2 linked regions of the Macaca fascicularis genome follow. Each later gene encodes a partner of the first gene's protein in a complex. Links are inferred from orthologs where the notes say so. Each region holds a gene or a part of one and is shown on either strand. Other genes may lie near its edges.

What was found. The genes of interacting proteins can lie anywhere in the genome.
Region 2: the proteins of ARHGEF7 (region 1) and SHANK1 are in contact, whole or in part, in a crystal structure (PDB 3L4F), measured with the Rattus norvegicus proteins. The link is inferred for Macaca fascicularis from reciprocal best matches to the Homo sapiens genes ARHGEF7 and SHANK1. Residues at the interface, in XP_063131056.1 of Rattus norvegicus: Asp735, Ala737, Trp738, Asp739, Glu740, Thr741, Asn742, Leu743; in NP_113939.2 of Rattus norvegicus: Gly673, Phe674, Gly675, Phe676, Val677, Leu678, Arg679, Gly680, Ala681, Lys682, Phe696, Glu703, His735, Arg736, Val739, Ile742.

What each region holds. Positions count from the first base shown.
Region 1 is NC_088391.1:101,799,879-101,803,918, forward strand, and holds part of ARHGEF7 (rho guanine nucleotide exchange factor 7), read left to right. Parts: intron 1-617; coding exon 618-704; intron 705-3,297; coding exon 3,298-3,466; intron 3,467-3,567; coding exon 3,568-3,707; intron 3,708-4,040. UniProt on the Homo sapiens protein: Acts as a RAC1 guanine nucleotide exchange factor (GEF) and can induce membrane ruffling. Functions in cell migration, attachment and cell spreading. Promotes targeting of RAC1 to focal adhesions. May function as a positive regulator of apoptosis.
Region 2 is NC_088393.1:58,575,056-58,579,095, forward strand, and holds part of SHANK1 (SH3 and multiple ankyrin repeat domains protein 1), read right to left. Parts: intron 3,745-4,040; coding exon of another isoform or gene 3,699-3,744; exon of another isoform or gene 3,668-3,698; intron 3,261-3,667; coding exon 2,543-3,260; 3' UTR 1-2,542. UniProt on the Homo sapiens protein: Seems to be an adapter protein in the postsynaptic density (PSD) of excitatory synapses that interconnects receptors of the postsynaptic membrane including NMDA-type and metabotropic glutamate receptors via complexes with GKAP/PSD-95 and Homer, respectively, and the actin-based cytoskeleton.

The DNA of each region.
Region 1 (4,040 bases):
CAAGTGATTTTTAATACATAAGTAATACTTTTAAGTCTGATGTAAACCAGGTGATGTTTATGGGGTGGATGAGAACAACACTGATTTGACATTTGGGAGGTTTGGGAAGTGCCAGGAATTAGTAGTAGACTGAAATTGATTTTAACATTTTATCCTATCCTTCCTTTAGCTTAAAGACTTCACCTGTTCACCCCACTAAAATGTATAGGTTCTCTCCTTTTTCTCTGAACCAGAAAAAGAAAATTTTAGCTTACCTGAAAATAATCACAGAGCTGAACTCCTTAACCAGATATATTTTCAAGATGTTACACAGGCTAATTGTGACTGCAGGATCTTTTAATCATTCAGTTTAGTTTCTTACCTTTTGTTTTTTGAAGAATTTAGAAATCCTTCTCTTTACCTATATGTCAAAGCTCTCTCTTAATCATATATTAAGACTTAATACAGAATTTATCATAATTGTTTCCATTTAATTTACCTGATAAAACTTGACAGAAATACCTAAATGAGAAATACCATGTGATGTTTCATAGGGTCTAGTATAAATAAGTATTTGTGCTCACATTTGTAAGTAGATGTTGTTTAAGAAATGTTTTGGGTTTCTTTTTTTGTATTAGGAAAAGAATGAAAGATATCTTCTACTCTTCCCAAATGTTTTGCTGATGTTGTCTGCCAGTCCTAGGATGAGTGGCTTTATCTATCAGGTAAAACACCATCTAAATTTATATTTTATTGTGGATCTGAGGATAATTTCAAGCTGACTTTGAATTTTGTGTTAAATATTACATGTATCTGTGTATGTGCTGTGTGTGTAATGCCGTATGTTCAGATATGGATGTACGGCTCCTGTTTATGTTTCGCTGTGACTATGCAAGCATATCCTATGTTCATTTTAAAAAAGGAAAGAAGTGTAAATGTAGAGCAACTTCATAAGGACACAGATGACTGTGGCACAAGTCAGCCTCTGTCATTGCCTTCTGTCATTTCATGCAAAATACCTTGCTGCTCCTTGCTATAGTTTTGTTCTGTGAAATGGGTTCAGCTAGGGCTTGTGGGTTAGTGGGGTAGTGTAGACTAAGGTCTTGTGTCAGTGGCACAGCACTGCCCAAATGCATCAGCAAATAGAAAGTGATGTACGTATGTAAGTAGCAGTGTGTGATTGTTGAACCTTTTTAATTTTTGTTTCCCTGCTTTTCTTGGAGAAAATGTGACAGCGGATTTGAGAAGGAGGTGCAAGGGTGAGCAGGGCCTTCTCTGTTATGACAGTGGTTTATAGTGGTGGTATGTGAAGGAGCTGGTATTTTTGCTGTCTAGTAGATGCACTTGGCAGGTTTCATTCTTTTTTTTCTGTGAAGTAATAGAGGCTCATATCCTTCCCATCAACTTTCTGAGGACTGGCCAGTCACCACATAACCACTGCAGCAGAAGCCACCACTTCGTGTTCCCTGGGTTGCGTTTCATTGTAGCATGTGTTGTTTTGTGTCGTCCCAGCAAGGGCGTTAGAGAGCCCTAAGCAGACACTGTGCCTTCACAGAGGCTTTGTCGACCACCCAGAGAGGACTTGTCGTCATACGCTTACTCTAAAACGGGTGCTTTAGAATTGATGAATCACATATATAGGAAAAGACTCAGGAAAATAAGGCTGTAGTTTGTAAGGCCACTGCTGAAGAGAGGTGATCTGTGGCTAAGGTGGTGCCCACTAGAGTTTTCCAATAAACTAGCAGCTACTTCTTTGTTAAATGACCTTGATAAACCTAAATCTCTGTCCTTTCTGGTCAGCACTATCTGGCTTCCTATTTTATATCCCCAGAGTCTCATTCCAGTGGCTGGAGACAGGAGCCTTCTCTAGCCTAAGGGAGAAGAGGTTGCCACTCGTGGCAGGCTTGAGTCTCTGCCTGTGGGACTGGGGCTCACACTGGCTTTACCCTTGACGTGCTGACAGACTGCTGGGGCTCATCTCAACGACAGGATTCTATTTTTCAGTTCTTAGTACAGTGGTGAGCCATGGTCTCTGTATCGTCAGTCTTCATTTCTACCATTGGAACACTGGCTTTGGGGGATGCTAAAAAGTGTTCGATCCAGCCACAGCCACAGTGCTCTGTACACCGATGTTCCGGTGGGCTAGGTTAAACACAGTTGTGCAGTTTCATTTTCTGTAGCACTCACAGCTGTTAAAGTACTTACATGCATTGTGAATCTTGGAAAGGAGTTCACAGTGTGTAGCATTTTTAAAATACGCTTGGCCACAGAAGTGTCCAGCAGTCTCCTCTTCCACCTGCCGTGCTTTAGGATGAGATTTCTCCACCTGGGCACTGCTGACGTTTTGGACTGGATCATTCATGGCCCGGGGCTGAGGGCTCAGTGAGACTGTCCTGGGTACTGTGGGGTATAGGCAGCCTCTCTGGCCCTTACTTGCTGGATGTCTGAGCCCCTGCCAGGTTGTGGCACTGCCACCCATTCTCTGTGGGGGCACGTTCCCCACACCCGTTGAGCAGCACTCCCACTGGAGGTGCTCATGCAGAATCTCGCTCCGCAGCTGATGGAGTGCTCCCCAGGCAGCACGACCCAGATGCCACTGCCTCTTCCTGAGGACTTGGTGGGCCACCGTGTACTGTAGTTTCTGTCAGCTGCGCCAGACTGTTTTGTGTTCACTTCTGATTTGTTTGTAATGATCACTTTGTACCCCGTTTCTGGTATCTTTTCCATTGACATTTCCTGTTGCAGTTACTGATTTCTTCCATTTTCAGGGAGCATTGGTTTGCCAACCATTTTCTGCATTGTGTGCAGCATTTAGCACAACTACTTATTTTCTGTTTGGTGGATTATAAAGTAGAATGTTAGGCAATTCTTGTTCTTGCCTCAATTTCCCACCCTTATTTTGACTTTAAACTTGGAGCTTCCTCTGTATTTCTTTATGAGGCAAATACATGCTGCTTTTCTGCAAAAACATCGTTTAAAACAACTGTTACACGTGGTAGTTTTTAAAAAATCATAATGTGAGATTTTTTGTCCTGGTGTCTGTTTAGTAGCAGCTCATCAGATGCAGTGTGTGTTTGGGCTTGTCAGTCTGTCCCTTGTCGCCAGTTGAGTTTCTTGCTTACAGTATAGTATTAATATGATTTATTATTTGAGATAAAGATTTTTGTATTATACATGCATCTGCTACAAACGAACTCTTTTTGGTTCACAAACACAGTTCCTCCACCAATTCTAAAATCATTTAATATTACTTTAATAATGGTACCTTTTTCTAGAAAAGCACTAATTGTTTTTTTTTTGTGGGGGGGTCTTTTTTAGGGAAAGCTTCCAACGACAGGAATGACAATCACAAAGCTTGAGGACAGTGAAAACCATAGAAATGCATTTGAAATATCAGGTGATAGGCACAAGCTGTGTGAGTGCCGTGTCTCGGGGAGGAGAGGCAGCTTGTCCCCGCGTGCAGATTCTTGCTTGCATATTTCAGAAGGTGGTGTTTAAGCGTTGAGTGGAATTCTGGGGGCTGTGTGTGCATGCACGCGCTTTTTACCTGTGTTTCCACTCGGCCTATTTTTTCCTTCTCTCCTCTAGGGAGCATGATCGAGCGGATATTAGTGTCATGCAACAACCAGCAGGATCTGCAGGAATGGGTGGACCACCTACAGAAGCAAACGAAGGTCACATCTGTGGGAAACCCCACCATAAAGCCTCATTCGGTGCCGTCTCATACCGTAAGGACCTGGCGCTTCTTCTCCTTCCAGACTCCAGGCGTGGCATCCCGTGGCTGAGCTGTCAGCAAGTGATCACGTGCTTTAAAACCTGATCAATATTGGGATAAAAATGCAAACGCTTGCTTGATATTTCTCTGAAAATATTTGGCCCTCTTTGTGCAGTAGTGAATTGTTTTCCAATGAGTGTTCTCGAGAAACAACCCTGAATTGTGCCTCCTCACGCACAATTCAGAGGTGCTTGGGTGGGAAGCTGCTTTTGCTCAGCGTGGCCTTAGAAGACTAATTTAGGGGAGTTTTACACTAAACTATAGATGATTTTTCTGAGAATTTTAA
Region 2 (4,040 bases), on another chromosome or scaffold:
CTCCTGGGTCCCAATCCCTTGAAAGATGAACTGAGGCCCGCGGAAGGGAAGACCTGGGCACCGGGGCTTTCAACGCGTGCCGAGCCCTGCCTCAGAATCAGACGTCCTCATCCGCCCCCCTCCTCTTCCCCTCCCACCCCCCTTGGAAGACAATTCTCGGGCTTTTATTTCAGGTTTTTTTTCTGGATTTTTTTTGTGTGTTCTAGGGGTTTTGTGGTTTTTTTTTTTCTGTTTTTTATATTTTCTTCTTTTGTTATTGTTCCTCTTTTTGCTTTTTCTCTGCTCTCCATCCCGCGCTGTCCCCGCATTCGGTCCCTCCCCACTTCCCACCCCGACCTCTCTTCCCCCCTCCCCACCCCCTACGCCCTCCCCAACCCCGCGGCACCCATCCAGAATGAACAAGCCCTTGATAGACGGGCGCCGCGCAGGCCCCCTGCGGACTGGGGGCATCCGACAAGGGGGAGGGGGCGGGTAGGGGTCCAGCGCGTCCTCTGCCCCTCTCCTCAACACCCCTCCCCCCTCCCACGACCCTCCCACGAGGTTCCCCGCAGATCCCTGACATGGTGAGGGGAGGGGGCTGCAAGCCCCCTCCCCTCATGGACGGAGCGCCCCCCCCTCTCGGGGGTAGGGGGCAGCAGAGGGGGAATGGGCTTGGGGAAGGAGGGGGAGCTCCCTTCTTTGGCAGCTGAACATGGGGGGGGACCTGAGGGCAATGCCCTCCCCGCTTTACCCACAGCAGGGGAGGGGGCTTCTCAGGGGGAGGGGTGGCTTACAATTGCCAAGCCGCGGGGACAAGGGGAGAGAGGAAGCGTGCGGGAAGGAACAGCCATGCTGGAAGGAGAGGGAGCTTCTTGGAGTGGGCAGGTTAGGAGAGGGGCATCTTCGTGCAAAAGGGATGGACAGATGGCCCAGGAAGGACAGGCAAGAGAAGAGGGAGGCTGAGGGCTGGAGGCAGGGTCAGGCTTGAGTGTGGAAGCATGGTGAGCGGGAAGCCAGTGTGCATAGGGTCTTCTCTCACCAGGAAGAGAAAGAGCTTAAGGAGGTAAGAGAATCCGAATGAGAATGGCCGCAAGAGCTGCTTGTCAACAGGAAAAAACAAATAAAGGTGTCAGGAAGAGAAATGTTACAGCCCAAGAGCGCATGGAATGAGATGAGTTTGCAAAAGGAAAGAAGTGGTAGAGCTCTCATTCAGGTAGAAAAGACAAGATGCGGTGTGCAGCCATGTCATGGAGTGCAAGAACATTATTAAAGGGGGAGAAACAAGGCTTCCAGAGAGCACTGAAAATGCGGGGGCGGGGGGCGGGGGCGCATGTGCAAAAGCAAGTGTGCGAGAGGGTTCACAAAAGAATCAAAAATGCAGAGGGGCAAAGATTTCAAACAGAAAGGGGCAAGGGAGTGGGAGCCTGGCAAAGAAGAAGAGAATGAGCATTTGTGAGAGAAACACAGTTCCTGGGAGGCAAGTGTGCAAAAGGTGTGACCAAAAGTGACGGTGCAAAAGGGGCAAGAGGGAAGAGGGGGGAGGGGTGGAGGGCTAGGAGTGTCACGGTGAGAGGGGAGAGGTGGGGAGTGGAAGAATCTGGGGTTTTTAAGAATAAGAAGGGAAAGTGCTTCAACGTAAGAAAATGGAGGTAAGAGTGTGTCAGGAAGGGTGCATAAGATAGCAAGTGTGCAAGGGCTGAGCAAAGAGCAGGGCACTCCAGAGAATGAATGATGTGCATGGAGTCCGTGAGTGGGGGAGGGAAAATGTGTCCCAAGTGTGTCTGCAACAAGGGTCCAGAGCGAGCGGGGAGGAGGAGATGTGAAATGGAGTGTGTAAAGGAGGGCCCTGGTAGGGGAAAAGTGTGTAAGCAGCGAGAATCAGAGCAGGAGGCATGGAGCATGAGAAAGGAAATGCAGCGTGTGCGAGGAGAACAGAGTGTGTTTGAACGGGCCTCGCCAGCCGGAAGCAAAGGCAGAATGTGCAAGACAGCGAGAGGGCAAATTTGTGCAAAATTGCAGCCCAGGGAGGGGAGGGGAGAGAGGTGAGCAGGCGTGCAACAGAGCGTGCAAGAAGCTGAGGGGGGCAGCTGTGTGTGCTGGGGAGAGGGGAAGGGGGAAGAGCTGAGGGGTCTGGAGAGAGTGGGAAGGGTGGTTAGAGGGGCGGCAGGTGGTGGAATCTGAGGGCACCCCCTTCCCCTGCGGCCTGGGGGACAGTCCCCATCCAATCAGGCTCAGGGCTGACCCTCTATGGCTCTGTCTGTCCCCTCCCCCCAGAATAGGCCCTTCCCTCCTTCTCAGTCCCCCTCGGTAATTTCTCCTATCCCCCCTCCGCTCCCCGCTTCACACACACACAGTCTTGTGTCAGCTGCCCCCCTTCAGTGAGGTGCAAATGTCCGGCCTGGATTGGGCCACCTAGTGACCTCTGGCCTTGGGAGACGAGGGCAGGGCGCAGTTTGAACAGAGTCCCTGGCCCAGGGGAGAGAATGACAGTCAGGGGTCAGAGGTCAAGAGGCCAGCAGGCTCAAGAGTTCTGTGGACGGGGCTGGTCCGTCCAGGCCAGCCATCACCTCTCCAGGAAGAATTTGAGAGCCCGGTCGATGTTCATGCGGTGGCCCACCCTGGTCACACCTAGATCTACATAGTCCTCCTTGGTCAAGGCGGGCAGGTGGGAGCCATCGATCTCATGGTCCAGGAACTGGGCTCGGTGCTCCCCCAAACCCAGCCACTCTAGCCAATCAGCCACGTCGAACTTGGTCCAGAACCCCAGAGGTTTAGCGCCAAACGGCTTGTCCGGGGGCAGCGAGAGCAGGCGGGTCGGTGAGAGGGAGCGCGAGGCCCCTGACAAGGCTCCCCCGAGCCCTCCGGATATCCCCGGGTGTGGCGGCACAAAGACTGGGGCGAAGGGGTCAGCTGAGCCTCCTGCCCCTCCAGTTGGGGAGCCACGGATGTCAAAGAGGCCTGGGTAGAGGGGTCCAGAAGGCAGGATGGGCAGGGAGGAGGGCCTGGGCGCAGGGCTGACCTTGTGCTCCGAGGCGGGCAGCAGCGAGGGGCTGGGGGCCCGGCGGAGCAGAGGGGGCCGCATCTCGAACTCCACGCCCTGGAGGTGGCGGGTGGACGTGGAGGAGGAGGAGGCCGAGGGTGAGGTGGCCCCTGGGGCCGCAGCGGCTGTAGGGGAGACCCCTGTTCCGGTGGGGAGCGGTGGCAGAGGTGGTTTGGGCCAGTTCTGAAACAGGCTGCTGACAGGCTTGGAGAGGAGCGAGGACTGGGAGTCGTCGGAGAGTCTGGAATGTGACAAGGGGGCAGTGGGGGAGGACAGGGATTTAGGGGGCAAGGGCAGGGGTGAGAAAGAGGCAGAGGTCAAGATATAGGGAGAGAGGAGGAGAGACATAAGGGTAGGGGGAGAAATGGAGGAGAGAGACGGGAAGAAATGGAGGGAGCAAAGGGTAATATGGCCGTCGAGGAAAGAAATGAAGGGAGAGAAAGATGAGAGGACAGGGAGAGGGCGACAGTTAAGAGAGATGAAAGAAAAAGAGACATTAAGTGATAATAATAATAATCGTCACCGCTCACTGATGCTCACGTGTGCCAGGCATTGTTCTAAGTGCTTTACATGATTGCATCTCAATCCCCACGACAGCCCTGATGCAGGTTACTATTATTATCAGCACAGAGAGGTTAAATAACTTGCCTAAGGACACACAGGAAGTGGCAGAGCCCGGTTATATGGCACCAAAGTCTGAGCTCTTCACCACTATTCTATACTGCCTTTCAGGTTATGGCCAGTCATAGCAGAGTGAAAGATGGGGAGACAGTGAGAGAGAGACAAAAAGAGGGTGAGCATCCAGGGGAGAGAGATGGAAGGGACAGGGGACACAGAGAGAGAGAGATGAAGAGAGGGAGATGAAAGAGAGAAGAAACAAGGGGAGAAAAAGGTTCCCCTCATCCCTTTTGTTCCCTCTCCTCCAGCACTGTCCCACCTCAGGGCCTTTGAACTGGCCGCTCCCCCTGCCTGGCTCACTCTTGCCCCGGGCAGCTGCTTCCTCTCCACTTCCATTACTCTG